Drosophila melanogaster: one gene and its partners. The gene in region 1 interacts genetically with each later gene. Each region holds a gene or a part of one and is shown on either strand. Other genes may lie near its edges.

Region 1 (9,320 bases):
CGAGCTTGAGATGCTGCATCGTAAAAATGTTTGACTGCGCGATTATATGGCGCTCATGAGAGCGCCACTTTGCCCTGGTCCATCAAACCAAGGCATCCTCCAGCGAATCCCTTGGAGCCGAAAATCACGTTGATGGAATCCCCAGGCCGTCAAATCAAAGTTAAGTACACTAAACGAAATCACTGAATGAGCGCGAACCCAAAAGGCAAATAAAAGCCGAATATACATATATTGTATGTATATATGTATATATATAGCACAGACGTGGCGCAGACTGTATAAATATCGTATAATGTATAATTTATGGGCCCGAGGTGAAAATATTTTCAATAGAAGGTGATTTAAATTTATTAAAGGAATGCTCACGAGCAGAGCTCCGCACTAAATTAGAATAAGTCGATTGGTGGTATGGCGATGGAGATGGGGCTGGGCCATTTGCTCATAAAAGCCCAAGCAAATTGAATTTGTGGACACCCGATGACCATTCCCGAGCCCAAAATTCTCAAATCCCCCAATACCCCCTAGTCCACAACTTCCAATCCCGATCCCGATTCCGTTCGGAGCTGTAAGTATCGACACGAATGGTGCTCCACGCTCTTTCGCTTATCAGATGCGAGGAGCTCATTTAAATCTCGGCCAGGCCAGAAATAAAGACGCGCATCCACCCGGTTAACCAACCTACAAAAGTCAACGATCCAAACCGATCCCATTCCAACCGATCGGATCGGATCCAATCCAAGCCTGCAAGCTCGCCTTTTGTTAACACCATAATTTACATTGATTTATGTGCTTAGTTGGTTCGGCATTTTTAATCGGTCCCCATACGATACCATATGATACCAAACCATACCATCCATTCTCATCTCCTCGTCGCGTTTAGTCTGTCCCCACTGTGTTTGTGCGCGCGGCTTCATTTGGTTATAATTAAAATGTCGATGTTATCAGCCAGATTTGGACATATTGGCCATTACGTTCGAAATTTAAGCGTTTTCTATGCGCGTATTTTGGATTTGGATTTTTTTTTTTTTTTTTTTTTTTTTTGATTTCGATTTCGTTTGGCTTTTTGTTCTGTCTTCGTTCGGTGTATTAATATTTAATAACGTTTTAAGAAGCTTTCGAGTGTTGTTAAATGCTTATTTATGCTTTTCGGCCGTGTTTGGTGTGTTTGTTTGTTGCCCAGTGTGTTTGAATGGATAATTATGCGTGAAATCGAACGTATAAATTGTATTTGTTGTCAAACCAAAGCGAGTCTATACAAACCGATTTCCTGGTCATATATTTCTGTTTGTTTATTGCCGAAAGAAAGTAAACGATTCTTCATTATTTCTTGCACTTTTTATTGGTTTCTCACTCAGCGGTTGACCATTTTAGTTTTTTTCTTTTATTTGAGCCAAAAACACTTAGTCTACGCACTAAATATCAGTTCAAACGCAACCAACTCAAGAATCAAATCCTTAAACAATACGCATTCATAAATAGATTTGGCTTAGGACTATTTTAAAGTTTAAAGTTACATATAGTTAGATATTGCATATGCTATAGCCTTAAATGGTGATGAGGTAAGTCGGCAGCCGGCGAATGAACAAGTATTATAGTATAATTATGCATAACTATAGGGTATACAATGGGCATGTGCATTTCAAGTGGGACAAGCGTGTTCGTATCGGGTATTAGTTACAATTTCAGCTAATCTTAAGCCGCCCATTATGTTGTTGCTGCTGCTTTCTGCTACATTTTTCTGTTTACTTTTTTCTATTTTTATTTAGTTTTTTTTTTCTTTTTTCTAGCGACCCCGAACCGCAGCCAAGTAGGTGAGCAGCATTTTAACTTTGGTTTTTCGATTTGTTTGCCCACTGTGTGTGTAGTCGCTTCTCGTATTTCAGTCCACCAGTTGCAATTTCAAATGCAATTGCAATTGCATCAGTAGTTGCTGTTGCTTTTGCTGCTTTTGTTTTTGTTGCCACTGTCAATCACAGAGGCGCGCACAACTCAGGTTTTCAATTAGACTTTGCCGCCGCCCATCTAGACCAGGTGGCCCTTGTCGCCCATGTCGCCCATCTAGCGGTCATGCTTTAGGAATTGCAACGTGGCCGGCGCATCGGAGGATGACAGGCGAGCCACCTTTGCCGCCGTTGCCGCCGACGACTCAATTTCACCATCGGAATCGTCGTGCACGTTGATCTCCTCATCCGAGTCCGATGACGAGTTGTCCACCGTCATGGTTGAGCCGCCAGATTGAGTGGTGTTGGTATTGGGTCCCGTGCCCTCACCACCGCTCCCCAAACCACCTGCGGAGTAGTGCAATCTGGAGCGCTGCTCCTCGGCGACCGTTAATGATGCAGCCACGGCATATTGCCTGGCCAATCCCAGGAAGGCAGCCGCCGAGGGCGAGCTCACCAGACTCCTGAAGGCACTACGCTCCCCGCCCATGGAGAGGTGATTCGCCGCCGGATTGCATCCACTGGGTGAGAGTTGCTGTTGTTGTTGATGATGTTGCTGCTGCTGCTGCTGATGCTGCTGCTGTTGTTGCTGTTGCTGCTGCTGGTGGTAGTGGCTGAGCAGCTGGAGGGCAGCTGGATGCGTGGGTAGGTGCAGAGGATGATGGTGATGGTGGCCGCCCGGAGGACCATGCAGTGGGTGTAACAGCACCGAAGGTGGCGGACCCTGTGGCGAGTGGTCACCGCACAGGGGCAACGGCTGCTGAGGTGGCGGCACGGGAGCCACTGGAGCGGAGGTGGAGGCACTGCTGTGGTTACTGGGCGTGGGCGAACTGGCCGGTGCATCGTTCGACTGCTGCGAGTGCAGCGGATTGGCGGGACTGGAGCGCTGACGCTTCAGGAGATTCATGCGTTGGTGGCGACGCCATTTAGCCCGGCGATTGGAGAACCACACCTGGAAAGGGTAGAAATAAATGATATTTAATAAAGATTAGTTATTTGAGGTTTTGGTTAATTGGCTTTGAAAGAGGTAACTCTAATTTCTGATATAAAAGTATTGATTTACTCATTAATTTAAATCAAATGGTATGTAACTACTTTACTAGCCACTTTTAATCTTGCTTTTTGAAAGTTTTGAGTGAAGCCTTTGTTTTCACCTGACTCACCTGAACTCTTGCCTCGCTCAAGCTGGTGCGACTGGACAACCGCTCCCTGGTGCTCACACAAGGATAATGACTCTTGTCGAACTCCTTCTCCAGCTCCTCCAACTGCTCCGGACTGAAGGTGGTCCGATTCCGCCTGAACTTGGGCTCATCATCGTCATCCAGATAATCGGAGTCTATGTGCCGGTTCTCATCCGCTGATTCCAAGGTATCATGGCTGCCAGAGCCAGGGGAGATGGCCCGATTGGTTGGTGTGCCACCTGCTCCGCCGGCCATCAAGTGCGCCGAACTGAGGGAGCCACAAGTGGAGACGGGCACAGCGCTCGCTGCACTCGGAGGCAGATTGGCGAGCGTGGGAGCGGCAACGGACCACAGGGCGGATGGAGGTGGCGGTGGTGGTACCCCCTGGCCGCCGGGCACATTGCCGGCCGGATGCCAGGTGAAGCTACCGTACGGATGAGGGGGTGGCGGGTACAGGCCATAGGCGGCGGTGCGAGCAAACTCGGTGGCCACCCGCTCGGCGGCTCGATTGCGCAGGATGCGATTGATGCTGCTCACCGATGGAGCGGTGGCATTAGTGCAGACACCTGCAAGGCGGGATTACGCAATTACCGAGCAGTCGAAGATCGAGATCAAAAGCTAAAAGCGACCGCCGATCAATCAGCGTTCAATCTGCGTCCGCGGATTAGCTGCAATTATGTGGAACACTCACCCTCCGAAATCAGGCGTTCTCGTATCTCCCAGGCGAAGATCGTTGGATTCTCGCGCTTGTACTGTTCGATCTTGGAGACGACCGTCGGCGTGGCCACCTTGGGCTTTGAGCCACCAATTAAGCCCGGTGGTCGCAGCGAGCCTGCAAGAATCAGAGCACAATTCCAGTTAAATTATGAGACAATGGATTTATGACTTTGCCAGCCTGGTTTTGGCAATCCATCTGTTTTTGGCTGGCAGCAAGGATTAACCCTGGTTGCTAATATCTTTATCTGCTCGTTTCATCAACATGTGATGTATGGAAAATATGAATGGGAAAACAATACAAGCCTTGGCAAATACACTGGTAGAAACCAGAGCAGCTCAAGAATTGGAAAACTTAAAAATGAGTGATTTTAACTACTTAAAGTTACTGTAATGACGGGTTTAAAAGACTTAAAAAATTCTAAACATGGAATAAATGTGATCACATATCCTTATTTGGAATTAAGCATTTTTTTCTTTCAGTGCACGGCAGCACGCACCAACCAACACTACCACCAAGGAATACCCGCTCGTGAATAAGCCGCATTTTGATTAATGAGCCAGCCGCGTTTTGGCCACCGCCAGTCAGGAGTTTATGCAATTTTAAGTGGCCAAATTACACGGCTGCGCACACGAGGGATACGCCACGCAGGGGATGGTAGGGGCAACTCGCAGGATAATAACATGTTTATCATAAAAATTAGCAAACAAATCGAAAACAAAGTACCCATTAGTTATCTGATGAGGGAAGGAACTGAGAAACTGAGCGGTCGTCCCTTTCAAGGGCTCACAACTCACCTAGCAACTTGGAGACAGCTCCCTGCTGGGTTAGCATGTGCTGGGCAATGTCATAGCCACGCAGTCCACCGAAACGTGAGAATTCCAGGAGGCGATGCTGTGACATCAGGGTGTTCAATGTGCTCCCCGTGGGTCCACCTGCACCGTGCGGAATGCCGCCAGTGGAGCCGCCGCCGCCAAAGCCGGGTGGTATTTGCACAGATGTGGGTGATGTGGATGTGGCCCCTCCGCCACCGGCTACCGCTCCCGATCCCGCTCCGGCCGCCGCTGCTGCCGCTGCCGCTGCTGCTGCTGCTGCTGCTGCCACGGATGCCGCCGCTACTGCAATTGAATGATAATTGGGTATTGTTATTTTATTGTGGCTTTAGCTGTCGCGGCCACAATGGTTAATTATGATAAATTAAGCGTTAATTGTGTTGACCGAACCGAAATGACTGATGGGTCCTACGAATATATTAGCGTTTCTATTACCCCAGCAAATGTCTAAGCTGATCGAATGGCCAAAATGGTGGCGACACGCAATCGAATCTTCCAGGCACGAGCAGATTTATCAAGCTAATTGATACGACAATGATCTCTTAGTACAAAAGGCGAAAATTAAAATATGTACTCAGCTGGATACGAAAAGAAAGCAAAAAACAAGTAGAAAAACAACTGTGTATTACGTTAATTCGACAGAATATTATATTTGCCTTCGCTTAAAAAACCTACATATATCATTCGGCTTGGGCAACTCGTCGCTCAAATTGTCAATTAGCGTTTTAAATGCGCGTTTCACTTTTGTTGTTTGTCAAGTAAATATTTTTAAAAAAATACGCGCACCTCCAGTCGTGCCTAACTGAATATACATATATGTAAGTATATGGGCCCATAATCAATTGTGCCGCCCATCAAATGAGAACCAGTTTTGTTTATTTCGGTCTATTTAAAGGTGAAAAGCAAGGAAATGGGACTGTCAAATGAGCCACGCAATTGGTAATGTGACATGCGTAACGATTTGTGTTTGTTTTAACTGAAGATTTAAGTTGGAATAACATAAAACATTTGTTATGAACATACTAAGTACGAACATGACAAATTTTAATCGCTTTCTTATAAATGGCCCACATTGTTTAAACTAGAAATATTATAAAGGATCACACTTATTTTATCTTCTGTTTAAGAAAATAAAAAGGCACTCAAAGTTAGTTTTACATAGACCTTTGTATGATCAATTTGATAATTTACATAATTTATCTACCATATACCATTTAAATAAAAAATTGTTTGTTTTACAGCGAAAAGTTAACACCAACTATATTCAAACTAAATGGATCTGGTTAAGAATTACACATAAACACATTTGACCCAGTTTGATACTTTATTTAATACTTTAACCGAAACACCGTTTTAACACACTAATTTAAACGATGCTTAGTTATTAGTTATACATAATTTCAATAATAGATTTTAGGTTTTATCGCGAAAGAACTAATTTGTTTAAATTAAAATTCGAACATTCCGGATTTGCTATCGAATGACATATTACACCTTTGACCCAGTTTCGGATTTATTTTTTGAAGATTTGTGTATATTTTCTTAAAATCCCCAAGCCTGGCTTTGCCGTCGGCAAGACTTCACATGGGCACTTTGGGGCACTTACCACTGGAAGCGTGAGGGGCCAGCGATGTGATGCGTTGGGGATGGGGCTCCATTTTCCAGTGCGCGGCCGAGAGGCCAGAATTAGCGACAGTAAGCGAGCCAAGGTCACGGTTTAAAGTCGGCTCAATCAACATGTCTAAGAATCGCTCTTTCCAATTCTCTTTATTATTTATTGTTATTTTATATTTGTTTATTTTATTAATTTTATTTGGGTATAACACAATCACAGTCACAAGTGTCGCACATCCAAGGCAGAGGTATCGATTATAGCGAATGCAACCGGAAACGGAAATGGAAACGCAATGCGGTCAATTGGATTCATAGCGTGCTGCTCACTCACACACTCGCATACACACGCACACAGATACACACACAGTGACAAATGCACGACAGTCGATCCCGACAGAAACAGTTAGAAAACGCTCCTGCGTATCTCTTGCTCTTATTTTTATTATAGAATTTGTTTTTATCGAATTTCTTGCGAACACTGCGCTCCGTTGAAACGTTGTTCACGCGAAAGCTGCTCTCAGCACAATGAGCGCTTGAATTTCACCTGGTCACCCGGGTCACTCCGCTCCACTCGAACAGTTTCACTCCGCTTTTGAGTGCTTTTCGAAACGCCAACCGGTTTACGAGTACCGTACTTTCATAATGGCGCCCGTTGAGGCAAACTCTTGCTCTCTCGCTCTTCTGCGCGAGAGCGGGACAACCACATGCACACTATGCGCGCACACAAATCAAACAATTATAAACTCGTTGTTGGTAAAGTGCTGAGTATAAACAGTGGCAAGAAGAAGAAGAAGAAGCAGACGAATGAAGAGCAGTGAGTGTGAGAGAGAGCGAACGCTTTGGGGAAGTGACAAGAAGAAGAACCAGAATAAGAAGAGAAAGAGGAGTTGGGGAACCCTTTAATTTTAACTACAAATGTAGTTGGGATACCATAGCACGTTTGAAGTCAACCTTTAGGTGCATTTCTCGCCTAATGTAATATTCTAATTGATTGAATTAACCGTACAGCTTAAATTGTACCATTTAGGAACATTTAGTTCGTAATCTTTACTGTTGAGTAATGCATTCAATTTATCGTTACTTTAAGCCAGAGACCATGGCCCCAATAAGTAGGCACTTTCAAATACCAACTCTTGATTATCATATCGATCTGTGTACAAATGAGCTACATTTACAAAAGTTCATGCATATGTATAATCTCTAACAATTAAGGCTAAAGACTGAAAAGAAGTTTGGCTTTTTGCTTACACTTCTAAAATAAATAATAATAATAAAATATTTTATTTCGAAATTATTAAAATAGCTGTAATATTGTATCAATAAAATGGCAGTATGGTATGTTTGTTTTACTTTTTATTTGATTCTACTCAGGAGAAAGACAAAAAAATATATATAAATAATTGGTAAATAATACCTCAGCAAAATATAAACATTAGCATTATAATAAAACAGAAAAGCATTAAATTGCTTCCTTTTTGTGGACTTCATAACTACTATTCCGCTTTTAAACTGACCAATTGCAATTAAAACTCGATTTTTAAACATAAACTTATTAAAAGAAGATTTAAGCCTGAAAGTCCTTTTTAAACAAACTAAATCGTTTATTGCATTGAAAGATAACATAAAATGATCGCTAAATAACAATAACTAAAATGCCTGCAATTTAAAAGAGCTTAGTAGCATATAGCCATTTGAAAGGAATTTTAATCCGGTCAAATGTGCAGTGAAGTGGCCAAATTGCATCCATTGCGATCCAGAGTGAACCTTGGACACGTATAAATCGCATGCGTGGCATGGGCCGTTTGCCATTCAGGTTTGCACTGCCCGTTTTGGGTCGTTGTCTCCCGGCCTTTGGTGCGTGATGGATGATTGATGTGCTGCCTGGGCAAGGCAATCCGATGTGAATCGAAACTGCAACTAAACTACACATGGCGTGATCGGGGAGCCACACAGATCACAGCTCGCAGCTCGCAACTCTCAGAACAGAACGGGGCAGAAACGGGCTACACCAAGTGGCAGAGTGGCCTGCACAGAAGCCAAATTGCATCAAAGCCCACGGATTGAGTGGCTCCCGGCGATGCAGGATTCGAATTGGAAGCTGAAAGATGAAAGCTGAAAGCTGAGAGTCGAGTTAAAAAGCAATTACCTGAAATGATTCCCCAATGGAATGAGATGGGATGAGATCAGTTGGGATGGGATGGGATCGGGTGGAAAGAGGAGCGAGTGCAGAAATCTGGATGCGAAACGATATGGTTCAGCAGAATCACCTGGCGATAATGAGATGTCTCACTAAGCTGATCAGAACTGCCTTTGTATTTATTTGTCTGTTCGAATGCAAAGTGCACAATGCACCGAACACTCGTGCATATATGTTTCTTCGATTTGTGAAAGGCGAATCATGAATGAAACGCTGCTGACGATGACGTTCGAGTGCCCTCATGCCAGAGATCCAGAGCAAACGCAAACAATCGAACAGGAATAATTTACTAAGTAAATAATATCTGGATACCGATCGCTGCACGGTAAGAAATTGCGTAAACCGGTGACCCATATTGCTCAGCAACCAAAGAAACCTTTCAGCACTGAGATATTTTTCATTCCATTGTTTTCTGGGATAATTTAAAGTAACAGAATTATCTTCTTACAACATTTTTTTGTCTTAACTTGACAGTAAGAGTTCTTAATTAAAGTCTGAAATTTTTAAAAATATTTTTTACGATTTTTTTTTACTAGTTTACTCAAGATCTATAGCAATATTTAAAGAGTTGAATCAATGGTCTCTATGGAATAGTGTTATATATGGTATATACATATTTCGTAACCATTTGATCCCAATTTTGGCCAGTGTAATCCCCGCGAGTAGCGTGCGCCCTCGCCCCATCAAGTGGCACTTCAACAATCAAGCATTCACACAAGCAGATGGTCCGCAGCCGTTGGCGACCACCTAAATGAAATTTCATTTAGTTTTTTTTCGCCCGTCATCGCCGCCGCAATCGCAACCCGCTCCTCGAGATCTCCCCATCCATCGCAGTCCATC
Region 2 (6,038 bases), 8.5 Mb from region 1:
TATATGCAGGCCGCCTGCGGATTTTGACAACTACAATAAGCCAAATTGAAGTAAAAACTTTTAGAAAAGAATACACTTTAACCACACACATCAAAAAAGCTAATTGGCTAATATGTAAGCAAGCACTTTATATGGAATACATTTTTGGTAAACTACCCTTGCACCATTATTCTTATTTCGTATTTTCTAATAGAACTCAAATTTTTTCTTCAAATGTACAGCCTACAACATACAAGTGCCGGGTGAAAGGTGATTCAATAGATATAAAATCCCAAAACAAATTTAACACGGTCCGCACAATAGCAACAGCTGCCCCCCACTACGCCCACTCGAATGACTAATGCTTCATTAGCCGCGTGATTAATATGTTTATAAACATTTCCATGTCAATTAATAACGAGCAAACCATAAGAATCGAGCGAAGAGGTGCGAGTGAATAATATGAAAGGGCGCCAAATGGAATCTACCCCTCTCAGGCGACCTTTGGGAAGATTAATTGAGTTAAACTCTGGTCGCCATAACGGAAAGCATAAATCAGCGAAATCGAACAAATCAAAGGCATTCCCGAAAAAATGCAATCAGAACCGTTCGTTCGCCTCCAGCTGGGCGAGCGGGAAAATCTTCATTAAATGCTGTTTAACAATATTATCCGTAAGATACGAATCTAAGATAAGATACACACAACAACAACAACAACAACAACAGCAGCAGCTCAGCAGCCAGGCATCCGAGCATCCAGGCTCAATTAAGCGACCACCAAAAGATACCCAGATACCCAGATATGGGTATCTTTTACTCGGTTGCCCAGCTGCAGATACTACTCCTTTTATCAGGCGCCTTCCGCGGCTTAATGTCGTCAACTTTTTCGGGCTGATTACGTGAGCGGCGGGCAGAAGGAGGGCTTTGTGGATCGAGGGGCCACGGAAAGGTAGCTGCAACCAGCTGCATTAAGTTGGCCATGGGAAGTGAAGAGCAAGCACCTGCTTTTGGCCTGGCCAAAAACAGGAATCACATCATCATCATCATCATCATCGTGGTCTTTGTCTCTCGGGCTGCCTCGAAGGCTTCTTGTGGCTGTTGCTTTCCTCAAGCTGATTTGCATGCTCCTCAGCTTAGGAGTTTGTTAATGTTATTATGTATTTACCATGCACTCGTCAAAAATATTTGAAAGTCCATACTGGAAAATAAATTCGGATATCTTAGAAGAAGAATTAGATGTCATTACAGAAAAAATCTATATTGTGCACGTTCATAAATGCACGTAAGTAATCTACTATCCATATCGATGTGTCATCGGTAAGCTGATCACAGTGTAGCCACAACAAACTACTCAAATCAATCAGCGACTGGTGGCCATTTGGCGCGCCACTTTAAAGAAATTCATAAACAAGCAAATCGTTTGACGATTATTATTCATTTCGTTTCATTTATGATTTATGCGTCAGCAACACGCGACATGCCAACCTGGCGACCTGGCGACGTGAGCTGCAACTGGACATGAGACATCAGATACTGGGAATCTTGGATAGGCAGGGTTGTGGGGCTGATGGAGACCCCCATGACAATACCCCCGCCCCGCCCCCGCCCGATTTCGAAATTATTGCTTTATCAGGCGAATGCCAAGCCCAGTTTAGCGCGAGTATGTGTCCAGTCGACTGTTTAGCTGTTCAACAGTTCGAAGAATCGAGCCAAGCCAAGTCATGTCAAGTCAACAAGCAGCACTTTTTGCGCAACATTTAGGAACAAAAAGAGAACACTCATATACGAAGTACGAAAAGAATTAAGCAAATTGTACGCGGCATGCAGTTTTTAAACTGGGACAAGTCACAGACCTCCGATGGAACAGAACTTCAATTGAAAAGACAAACAACAGTACAGCAGTTGTCGACAGTTTTTTATCCGGCTCAGTATTTAGTAGTGCGATGTGTGTGTAGCACTAATTCCTGCCAAGTTTCCGGTTAGCCCCAGAACACAAAAATAAAAAAAAGAGTAGAGCAACTGGAAGAGCCACAACGTCAACAGCATTGTCCGAATTAAAACAACATAAAGTTTTTAATTACACTAGCAGCAGCATGCGAAAACATTACAGGGGAGCCTCCACAAACTCGCCTCGAAGCCTCGAAGTTGGGCAATTGAGTTGCAAATTGAGAAGCCGGAAGGTGGTGAAGGGCAAGGGGATTACATGGATATTTTTGAGGATGCTGCAGCTGATTCAATTATGAGCTCTTAACTCTATTGCCAGCGGCTCGAATCACTAATATTATGAAATTTGTAAGCCTTAGTTAGGGAGCTGTAACAGTTGAAGGTATAACTACAGCAGTAGGGTTCATTTAACAAAAATCGAACTATATAAAGAAATGTTGGAAGAAAACTTTGAGGAATCTGTATATGCAACTGATTAAAAATATGTGCACTATTTTCTTATGGCGTCGTTTCATTTAAAGTTTTTAAAATATGATAATCCTAGAAGGTGGACACATAGTTCGAATTTCAAGGGTTCTAAAAATAGCCTGTTCGCATAAAACCCTGCCAAAAAGTGTTTGCAATGCAATAGGAGGCTAACTAAGGCCATTCCCACGGACCTCAACTATTTGTTATCTGTGATGCAACTGACAAGGTTTTCCACTGGACGAGTCCATTGAGATTCACCTCCATGAGATCCCCCCTCGCAGCGCACACCTTGGTAATATTAGCACACAATATTTTATTACACAAAAATTTATGCAAAAATCAAGAGTAAGAAGAGAACAATAATAAATGGGCAGAGCAGACAGGGCTCAGAACCCTGACAGGCCCTGGAATCAGGCAACTGAAAGCTTTGGCGACGCTCTGCCGACGGCAAACCAAGAAATTCAGGAACGGTTGACTGGATCTTCGGTAATCGAAACTGGGAATACTCTTGTGGGAATTGGAAAGTATTGGTGATTTTCAAAAATATATTCCAAGTGCCTAATGGTATGATTTTAGGATTTTAATAATGTCTCGATAATGCGAGCCGATCTTTGAACATCAACTTTAACAGAATTACATTCTCTTGTCCTTAAATCAATCAAATATAAGCTTAATTGTAAAAAAAAAAAACAAATAAATTCAGGATCATATTTCCATTTTTGAAACAAACCACTAAGCTAGGCACTACCTCTACATAAACTTCTGCACAATTTCTAAAGCAATCAAGTCCTTAGTTCCAAATGAATTCCCCGTGATACCGATCCCCATCCAATCACCAATCGTAGGGTATATCCTTTTAAAACGCTTCCTCGCCGAAATTTGTGTTCAATTATGATACCCCCTATTAGGGTATAAAAGCGCAAAAAGCCAAGCACCGAAACTGTTTTATATGCAAGGCAAGGGCGTAAAAGGTTTTTTTAACGGCCAAAGCCGCAGCTGCAAAACTCAAGTCGCCGGCGTTGATTTATGAAAGTGCACGAGTCGACGTCGATCGGGATCGGAATCAAAGGGGGATAATGCAAATTGCCTGGCCTTTGCAGCTTTGCAACTTATGCAGATCAGTGCGGAGCACACACGTTTGACAGTTTCGCAGCGCTAACAACACCCACGCAAGCTGGATTATGTCGCCCACTCGAACTCGCAACTCACTTGGATGCCCGGATATCCGTAGGCGCTCTGGTAGAGCAGTAGGGTCATATAGACGACGGCGACGGCTAACATCATGGCTTGCAGGATTCGCTTAAAACGTTGCGGTGGCGAGAGCACAGTCAGGCTCATCATACGGTTACGGACCACTACGCGCACATTGAAGCACCGCCGATTTGATCACTGGGTAGGTTTTATATTCCAATATTAGCTGGTTCTTTTCCTGGATCGTATGAATTCTGCTCGATTTCTGAAATTACGATATCTTTTAAGTTTATTTCGATTTCGATATCGCAGCACGCGCGCACTGACGTCTTGCTTGTGGCAAGCTTGAAAAGCAACTGATTGTGGTAGCGCGATCTACTCTTCTCTTCTTCCAGCGAAAATCGTAAACAAAACAAAAACCAGAAAGACCAGTAAGCGGTGAGAGTAGCGAGAGAGAAAGAGAGAGAGAGAATTCCCTTTGAGCTGGTCCAATTGGAAACGTTAGCTGCTCCAATGGGAGCAGCTGGCGCTCTCTCTTCGATCGCGCTCGCTCTCATCCTCTCTCTTTAGCTTGTGCCACAGTAGCTGCCGAAGGCAATTTTCATGTGCTCGTGTGTCGACCCCCACTCAGCCCACTTCTGATCGGAATCGGGGATTCGGAATCGTGTAAGGCAGCCTTTGAAGGTCCCTTTTCCAGGTGGCGGCCGTATCCTTAAAGTAAACATAGTTCAACTGACTTGGCAGCGCTCCAAATGCGGTGACTTCTTGGCTATGTCATATATACCCCCACTCCCCTCCTGACTACCCTGCCACGCCCCACCGCCCACCGTCGGCGACGACAATTCCATTAAAAGTTGTACGTTGTCACTTTGCGTTAACTTATCTGTGGAGCATGTTGTGCGATCGCATTTTTATTGTCGCCATTGTCTCTCGCTCTCTCCATCGCTCTTTCGCCTGGCTTCCCTACCCTGCCCACACAGGGAAGCCTACACACTCTTAAATCATGCACTTGGAACAAAAAGTGCAAGCATTAAACTTTATTTAAACATTCAAGAGCCGCTCCTCTATTTACCATTGAAATTTTATTTCAAATAGAGAGGTCTTTTCAGATTATATTATACCTTTAAGTGGCTTAGAAATAGTTAGACAGTGTATTTATGGATAAGTAATTAATTTAACTAAAAAATACAAACAGAAGAATTCTTTTACAATAATTTCAAACTACTAATTTCTACATCCCTTTCTCGCTCCGTGCATCAAATGCATCCACATCTCACGTGCGTCGGCAGCGTTCTGCGACGTTTCTTTGTCGCTCGGTTTTTGTGTAGCACTTGGCCTGCTCCCCACTTGACAATGCTTTGCATGCCAGGCACCATCCAGCAGTATCTTCCCGTTCCTCCTCCTCTTGCTGCTCTCAGCCCATTCAGCTCGATCCCATTCCATCCCAATCCGAATCCCATCCTACTCCTCACCAGCTTGTCATATTCCATGTTTGTGGCGGCGACAAAAGCTTTTGCGGACACCTCTGCCCGCGTCGACTGCGCTGCCCGCACAATCAGCAACTCGGCATCTTGTTCGCTGTCCCTTTGTGCGCCTTTCGCCTGAATTGCATTAAGCAGAGTCGGCGGAGCACTGCAAGAAAATAGTGAATTCGTATTTAATTCGGTAAGAGAACAGCATAAAAATGTAAACTTTTATCGCCTTGTGTCAGCTGAAAAATCTATCCAACCCTTAATAGTTTAATGTTTTAGATTATTTAAGACTGAGCCCTTTAAATACAAAAGCTTAGCATAAATTTAGAACCATCGACAATTACCCAGGGGCTTTAAAACTGTTTAACTTAAGTGGCCATTGTGTGTACCCAAATGAGCAAGCAAAATCAATTGGCCTTCACAGTGTTTTAATTATTTTTATTAGTTTATTATTATGTCAGTATGATTTTTCTACCGGTGCAGAGACGGTGGTAGCGGCGACGCAGGCCATTCCAACCTTGTTCTGCCACAGAAAAAGACATCGCTCGGCTGGAATCAGCCGCCCGCTTGCCACGAAACCCTCGGAACCCACTTCCCATTCCTCCGTATTCCGCCCACTCCCATTGCTCATTTTTAATGTGCAATTCCGTATGTACAGTTCGTAGCCATGGCCACCATTCCGCTCCGTATAAGTGTGTGTGTGTGTGTGTGTTTGCATAGCAGCTTGGTTGCCGGTTAGGCATGTGCCACCTCCAGCTGCAAGCTGCCTGTTCCAAGTTCCGATCCCCAGCCTCCAACTTCGGCTGCAACTTCAACTGCATCTTCAACTGCAACTTCAGCTGAAAAGCCCAGATCACAACCTAGCCTTATAACCAAACGAGTGCAGCTCCGTTTATCGGGCGGCCTAACCTTGTTAGGATTGTAAAATGTAAACCGAAGGCGTTGCCACGGACTCAGTGCTCAACTCGGACTTACACATCCCAA
Region 3 (7,544 bases), on another chromosome or scaffold:
TGATTGTGTACTCCCTGAGGAACGACAAATCCTACCGCGTCAAGCACAACTTCTTCCACTTCGATCCTCTGCATGGTGATTTCAATGTGGGCGGCGTGAACTTCCAGTGGACGGATGGCGTTTTTGGGCTGGCCGTGGGCCCAATGAATCCAGATCACTCCAAGGACATTTATTTCCATGCCCTGGCCAGTACCAAGGAGTTCAAGGTTTCGAACCGCGTGCTGCAAAACGAATCACACGTGACCGCTGGCGATTCGTATTACGATTTTAAATACGTTGGTGACCGTGGCATGAATGGCCAGTCCACCGCCGAGGTCTTTGACCCCGAGACCGGCGTCATCTTCTATACGCAGGTGAACAAAGACGCCATTGCTTGTTGGAACATCAAGCGTCCATACACTCCGGACACCCAGGGGCTAATCGATTCCGATTCGCACACTCTGGTCTTTCCAAATGACATGAAAATCGACAATGAAGGCACTATTTGGGTGCTGTCCGACAAGATGCCGACATATTTGTACAAGGAACTCGATCCCTCGGCCGTCAACTATCGTATTTTGATGGGCCAGAACCGCGATCTCATCAAGGGTACACCATGCGAAATGTGATCACTTGGATATTTAAATCTACATGCTGTGTTTATGACGCGGTGCATTTTTGTATTTACATTATGACATTATTGTTTGTTAGTAAGTCAGCTTAATAAACTATTTGAAATGTGATTGATTGGGTATACCATGGTGAGCCTAAGTTAAATGTCGGATTTCAGGAGGTTGTCGGCCAGTTGCACCTTCTCACCGGGCTTAAAGGCGGGCATGCCCAAATAGGGGCAAGTGGAGCAGCGGAAGGCGTCGCCGAGATAACACTGTGCATATAAGAAATCAGTTATAATCGAGGTTAATGCTAACTCACATCGGGGTTAAGAGAACTCACATTTCCACAGCTTGACTTGGCATTCTCGGTGGCCTTCTGGCTCTGTTTTTCAGTCTCCAATTCCTCGGCCAGCCCGCAGGAGCAGTTTTTGCACGCCTTGCGCTTGCCCGTGGTGCTACAGACACGCAGACCAGCCGGATCCGGCTTCTGTTTGTCTTCCTCGTCCAGCAGCTCCTCCTCATCGATCAGTTCCTCATCGTCACCGCTTATCTTCCACACATTGACTGCACTGGCGTTCTTCTTTGCGAATGACAACCTGGCTGAGGATCCTGTCTCGTAGCCAGGCTTCTCGGCGGTCAAAGCATCTGGAGAGTCCTCGCGACAGTTTATGAATCCGGATAGCTTGATCTCCTGCAGCAAACTAGCCGCCGGACCGATGTAGGACACCAAATGCAGTTTGCCACTCGGTTTCAGCATGTGCAGCAGTTTTACGTAACTGTCGGTCAGCTGGGCGCACTCGATCACAATCAGGTCGAAACTGGAGTTGGCATAGGAAGCTGTAATGCATAAACATCACTGATTTTAATCTGCTGACTCACTGGCTAGTCAAAAACAGCACACACACACCGCACCGCACGCAACTTACAAAACGAAAGGCGGTGCACATTTTCCAAAGCCACATCGCCGCCAGTGGCCGCCTTTAGTTGCTCCACGCGCTTGTCCAAGTCGGCGCTGTCCGTCCATATGTATAGGGATTTTTGTAGACCCTTAAAGTTCTCCATTGTGGATGTGTTTCTAGAATATCTCAAAAGTTCAAGCACCGAACGGAACCGATTTTTGATTTCACAAGTTAGATATGGCAATGCACCGAAAATCGAGCGGTGATATCGATTGTACCTGCCTATCGGATTGCAAATGATATTCAGTGATTGTAGATTTTTCCACTTTACACTGTGACTGCTAAAATATATGAATAACTAAGTGTACTCCACCAGATTCGTTTTTTAATGAGTTACAGCTTACATTCTGATACATAATTAACAGCTTTTAGTTGCATATTGTGTGTTTCTGCCACTAAACCTATTTAAACGGTTACATTTAAGCCTAAAGTCGCGAATTATCTTTTAAATTCACCCATGTGTACTTTCCCACGGCCCGTTTTAAAAATGCATGGACAGTTAGACAAGAAGGTTGGTAGTTTGTACCTTGAATTTTAAATGTGGGCGCTCAAAATCGAAGTGTTCAATGAAAATCGATACCTTTCGCATCAGTTAAAAGTATTTATAGATATAAGAAATAATATCTTTAACAGTGATGTGATGGGAATAAATATACAAATGTATTCAGAAACTGCAAAGTTAAAACAAAATATATTAGCTACTCCAAATTGGCTATAAAATAACCAAATGCCCACTGCCATCCAAATCCAACCAACAGTGCTGTGAAGCGACAAACATATCGCCGGTAGGCAGCGACTATCATAAATAAGCGCCTATCGGACTATCGATACAACATCAACATCCTCAGTCGCTTTTTTAGTTGTAGCATATTATAAATATAACTCGAGCGCTAGTTGCAGCCTTAAACAGAAGCCAGCCGCCACTACCGCTAGTCGCTAGTCAAGATCTGCTCGAAACGCTGAAATATGTGTGATTAGTCGTGAATCGCAGCTAGCCGCAAATCCAGCTTGAGCTACAACAACAAAGCCAATCCGCGGTTAAGAGGAAGAGAGTGCGTGAGAGAAACGACAGCTGCTCTGCGTGTGTGTTTGTGCAGCAGGATAACAAAATAGAAAACATACAGCAGCAACAACAACAACAAAAACAGCACCAGCGAACAGTGTATAAAGTGCCAAACGAATTTGCCAAATAGCCAAAAACGAAATAATAGAAAAGATCCAAACAAAATTCCAATAAGTTCAATGCAAGGAGACATGTGCATAAATGAAGAGCTACAGCCAATTTAATTTAAACGCCGCCGCCCCGCCCGCCATTGCCTACGAAACTACGGTTGTAAATCCCAACGGCTCACCCCTCGATCCTCACCAGCAGCAGCAACAACAGAGCCAGGATATGCCGCACTTTGGACTGCCCGGTCCGCAGCCGCCGTCGTCGCAGCAGCAGCAACAACAATTGCAAGTGCACCACCAACAGCAGCAGCAGCAGCAACAACAACAACAACAACAGCAGCATCAACAACAAATGCAGATGTCCTTGCTGCCGGGTCCTTACCGGCCACACATCGAGGAGAAGAAGCTCACGCGGGACGCCATGGAGAAGTACATGCGCGAGCGCAACGACATGGTCATCGTTATCCTGCACGCCAAGGTACGAAAGGATTTCCACTTTTAAGCCGGTATTATCAGGTGCTTGGTCTGGATTTAGTATTCAAGATATTCTAAAACATACAAGGGAACTCCTGAGTCTTAAGTCTTAATTAAATTATTTGAAGCTTGAAATACATTATTTCAATATTACTAAAAATATATTAACCCAAACTGGAGAAACGTAGGATATCCTAACTTTCATTTAAATTAGAAACTTGGTCAGTTTTGTACGTCGATTTCCTAAATTATTCGATTTTTTAGATTAAATAGATTAAATTCAGATTTTCTTTCTATTTCAAGTTTAACGATGTATCCTTTCTTTGAAAATTACTTGTATGCTTTACAAGATATTTATTTTTTTTTTATAATTTAGTTTTAATCTAATCGGTCAGTCCGCAACGCCAAAACCACACCCACTATTTAAAGGTGCTAGTGTTTCCATTGTCCACTTTAAAGTGTTACATTTTTGCGGTTTTTGGCGAACGCAGACATGAAAATGGAATAAAATTGTCGCGGTTGCTTTTAGCGGTGGCGATCTTCAAGCGACGACTGCCGCCAAATGGGAATCCTTCACACTCGACTGCCCGCAAATTGAGCAACGCGAGCGCGGTCCAGTCCGCAATGAAAATAATTGAAATTAATTACAGAAAATTAACAAAGCTGCATTGCTTGCGGTTTTGATATGATTTTCCGATAATCTGGACGGCAATTTGTACTAATTGAATTTTCCCTGCACCATCGTGCGCCTCTGTCTGTCTGTCTGTGTGAATTCCAGGTGGCCCAAAAGTCCTATGGCAATGAGAAGCGATTCTTTTGCCCACCGCCGTGCATTTATCTGTTCGGAAGTGGCTGGCGCCGGCGGTACGAGGAGATGTTGCAGCAGGGCGAGGGCGAACAGGGAGCACAACTATGCGCGTTCATCGGTATCGGGAGCAGTGACCAGGATATGCAGCAGCTGGATCTCAATGGCAAGCAGTACTGTGCGGCCAAGACGCTCTTCATCTCGGACTCGGACAAGCGAAAACACTTTATGCTGTCGGTGAAGATGTTTTACGGAAACGGTCATGACATTGGCGTTTTTAACTCGAAACGGATCAAGGTTATATCCAAGCCGTCCAAAAAGAAACAGTCGCTAAAGAATGCCGATCTGTGCATAGCCAGCGGCACCAATGTAGCCCTGTTCAATCGCCTGCGTTCCCAGACTGTCTCCACCCGTTACCTTCACGTGGAGAACGGACACTTTCATGCGTCGTCAACACAATGGGGAGCTTTTACGATACACCTGCTGGATGACAATGAGTCCGAGTCGGAGGAGTTTCAGGTGCGCGATGGTTACATTCATTACGGAGCCACAGTCAAACTGGTGTGCTCCGTAACGGGCATGGCCCTGCCACGTCTGATCATCCGGAAGGTAGACAAGCAGATGGCCCTGCTGGAAGCCGACGATCCCGTTTCTCAGCTGCACAAATGCGCCTTCTACATGAAGGATACGGATCGGATGTATCTCTGTTTGTCGCAGGAGAAAATCATACAGTTCCAGGCCACGCCGTGCCCCAAGGAGCCGAACAAGGAGATGATCAATGACGGCGCCTGCTGGACCATCATATCCACCGACAAGGCTGAGTACCAGTTCTACGAGGGCATGGGTCCTGTGGCGTAAGTATAGCTTACTTACAACTCAATGGATTAGTTTTCATTTCGTGTTTTCTTCCAGTTCTCCAGTCACTCCAGTGCCAATCGTTAATTCCCTTAATCTCAATGGCGGCGGGGATGTGGCCATGCTAGAGCTGAGTGGCGACAACTTTACGCCGCATCTGCAGGTGTGGTTTGGCGATGTGGAGGCGGAAACCATGTACCGCTGCACAGAGACATTGCTATGCGTGGTGCCGGAGATTTCACAATTTCGAGGCGAATGGCTTTGGGTAGGTTTTCCAATGTAAATCTGTTTAATACGCGCTATAAATTTTACTTTTAATGGTCCTTGCAGGTACGTCAGCCCACGCAGGTGCCCATTTCGCTGGTGCGCAACGATGGAATAATTTATGCCACCGGTCTGACCTTCACGTATACACCTGAACCAGGTCCTCGGCCGCACTGCAATACACAGGCCGAGGATGTGATGCGAGCGCGACAGAACAATAACAATAATAACATCACTAGCATTAGCAACAATAATAACAGCAACAATGCGGGATCGCCGGCAGCCGGCGGTGGCTTGCAACAACAACAGCAGCAGCATCAGGCTCTGCCCTCCATCTCAGAAGTGCAATGGAATAGTCATGGTAGCGGCTTATCCTGAGTGCAGGATTATTGCATCGCACACATATGTATCCTAAGTTATTTATAGTTTTTATCGAAGACCTTAGTTTGTAGATTGACAATTTTTCTCATACTAATTTTCAACCCCTCGTGACGTAAACCAAAATGTGTCCCCTTCTCTCTAAAGTGAATCATACTTTACACATGTATCTAGTGCTAGTTCGGAACCAATAGAATTGTAAATGACACATAAAACTCTGTACATAACTCGAAAAGCTCACTGACATACATACATACATTTGTATGTGCATGAATATACCTTTACACAAAACATGTAATTCTAGTTAAATATACAATTGATGTAAGTTTATAGACGATTTTTAGATGCGGTTGAAATATTTATGATTTTCTTTGCTATGAATTTCCAAAGATCTAAATGAAAAAAAAAAATACTGCGAAATGCATCGGAAATTTTTATTATACACAAGCCAGTAGCCACGCTACAAAAACATTCCATTTCCCTCTTTAGCTTTCTAAAAAGTCGAAGACAAAGTCAAAAAGGGAAAAATTTGTTTCTGTACATACAGTTTTGTTGCATTTTTTTATTAACTTTGGAAATTCGTAGCATTAAAAATCCCAATAAAATATTTTGTAAAATAAAATCGCAACAAGACAAAACAGCGATTTATTTAAGTGTAAGCGAAATGCCTAACATAAATAAAAAAAAGAAATCCCAAATGATGACAAAGAATAATCAAATCATGTCAGCTTATGTTTTTGGTTTAGCGTGATTCTTCTGGTTCACCATTTTTCCTGTGGCCTAAGGTGGAGCGCTGGGGAGGATTGGTTGCCTTAAATTGCTGTGGGAATATTACCCAGTATCGTGTGAATATTTTTAAACAAAACAAGTGCAGCTCTTCCCACGATGGTTTGCCTCAACCCCCTCGGACGGGCCGACTTTAATTATAGTTTGGTCTGGAATTGCTGAACGCGAAGCTAAGAAGCAAATATACATAGATATATAACACTATTGTTTCCGTTTTGGCCAAGTTAAGGAGCAGAATATTCTCACAGCCCAAAAAGCCGCTGCCGAGCTGCTGTGAGAATTTTTACTGCCTTTGTTGAATATTTATGCATTCGTTGCTGCTGCTGTCTTTACAGATTTACAAATTAAGATTCGCAGTTTTGAATTAATTATCGCTCACTTCCGCTCGACGGAATCAGAAGGTGAGCGCTGGCCAAGCATTTAATCTCATCTTGCACTTGGGAGACATATTTCTTATCAGAGTCAGCCAATAGGAACTTGGCTGCAACCCCTAAGATTTTACTGCACCGGGCGATGGGAACGAAAGACTTAAACAACGAACTTTGGTTGCGTGAGGAATCAAACTACTGGCGGCCGCCTGTGTTCATTATGATGGAAAAACCACCACCAAAAGTTCTGGCTCTGGCAATTGGAACTGCAACCTCTTAAGGTCGTCGCCGTCTTATAAGAAGCTGAATATGAAATTAGTTTGGAATTTTTAATGAACAATTCCTTCACATTTCCCCAGGCCCTCTTTCTCCACCACTGTTTGGATAGGCGAGTGCGATGATTGTGGTCGTTTTTAGAAAGGGGGAGACAGCAATTTCTAAAAGTTCTCAGGACTGCTACACAACCTCATACCGTCTACTAAAAAAGTTCATTATCTTGAAAAATCTAAGTCTACCTGCCGTCGTCTTTAGTCTTTAGCTTGCCGTGCCGACTGCTGCCGTTTTTCACACGCTGGGGAAAAATGGAAATTCTCGCAAAATACAATGCGTGGGAAATCGGTGGCGTGGGAGTCAGGCAAGAAAATCAAGGGAAACTATATAATCCAGTCCTATAAAAATTTGTATTCACAAGACTTTGGACACGTACTCCCTTCCATGCGCGGTAAATCCAAAGCCGTAGGTCAAGATTGGTAAATCGATGGCAAAATCGATCGGATTTTCAAAGTTTATAGGGGTCGGTCGTAACCGTTACTTCAACTTGTTTAGTTCCATTGTTGTTACTTAACAAAGATATTTATATAAGACTAATTATTTTATTTATTAATGACTTTAA

The links.
Region 2: of eyg (region 1) and fng, changing one suppresses a phenotype caused by changing the other (phenotypic suppression), as found in Drosophila melanogaster (one study listed by BioGRID).
Region 3: of eyg (region 1) and Su(H), changing one suppresses a phenotype caused by changing the other (phenotypic suppression), as found in Drosophila melanogaster (one study listed by BioGRID).

What each region holds. Positions count from the first base shown.
Region 1 is NT_037436.4:12,461,211-12,470,530, forward strand, and holds eyg (eyegone), read right to left. Parts: upstream 6,812-9,320; 5' UTR 6,409-6,811; coding exon 6,276-6,408; intron 4,955-6,275; coding exon 4,634-4,954; intron 3,954-4,633; coding exon 3,813-3,953; intron 3,688-3,812; coding exon 3,104-3,687; intron 2,893-3,103; coding exon 2,059-2,892; 3' UTR 1,327-2,058; downstream 1-1,326. Other genes in the region: CG32102 (uncharacterized protein), read right to left, coding at 7,947-8,213.
Region 2 is NT_037436.4:20,945,570-20,951,607, forward strand, and holds the start of fng (fringe), read right to left. Parts: upstream 3,944-6,038; 5' UTR 3,733-3,943; coding exon 3,601-3,732; intron 1-3,600. UniProt on the Drosophila melanogaster protein: Glycosyltransferase involved in the elongation of O-linked ligands to activate Notch signaling. Possesses fucose-specific beta-1,3-N-acetylglucosaminyltransferase activity; extends the O-linked fucose on the Notch EGF repeats.
Region 3 is NT_033779.5:15,037,121-15,044,664, forward strand, and holds Su(H) (suppressor of hairless), read left to right. Parts: upstream 1-2,367; 5' UTR 2,368-2,816; coding exon 2,817-3,200; intron 3,201-3,974; coding exon 3,975-4,855; intron 4,856-4,913; coding exon 4,914-5,121; intron 5,122-5,186; coding exon 5,187-5,498; 3' UTR 5,499-6,214; downstream 6,215-7,544. Other genes in the region: yellow-c, read left to right, coding at 1-608; CIAPIN1 (cytokine induced apoptosis inhibitor 1), read right to left, coding at 752-865, 934-1,430, 1,520-1,655. UniProt on the Drosophila melanogaster protein: Transcriptional regulator that plays a central role in Notch signaling, a signaling pathway involved in cell-cell communication that regulates a broad spectrum of cell-fate determinations.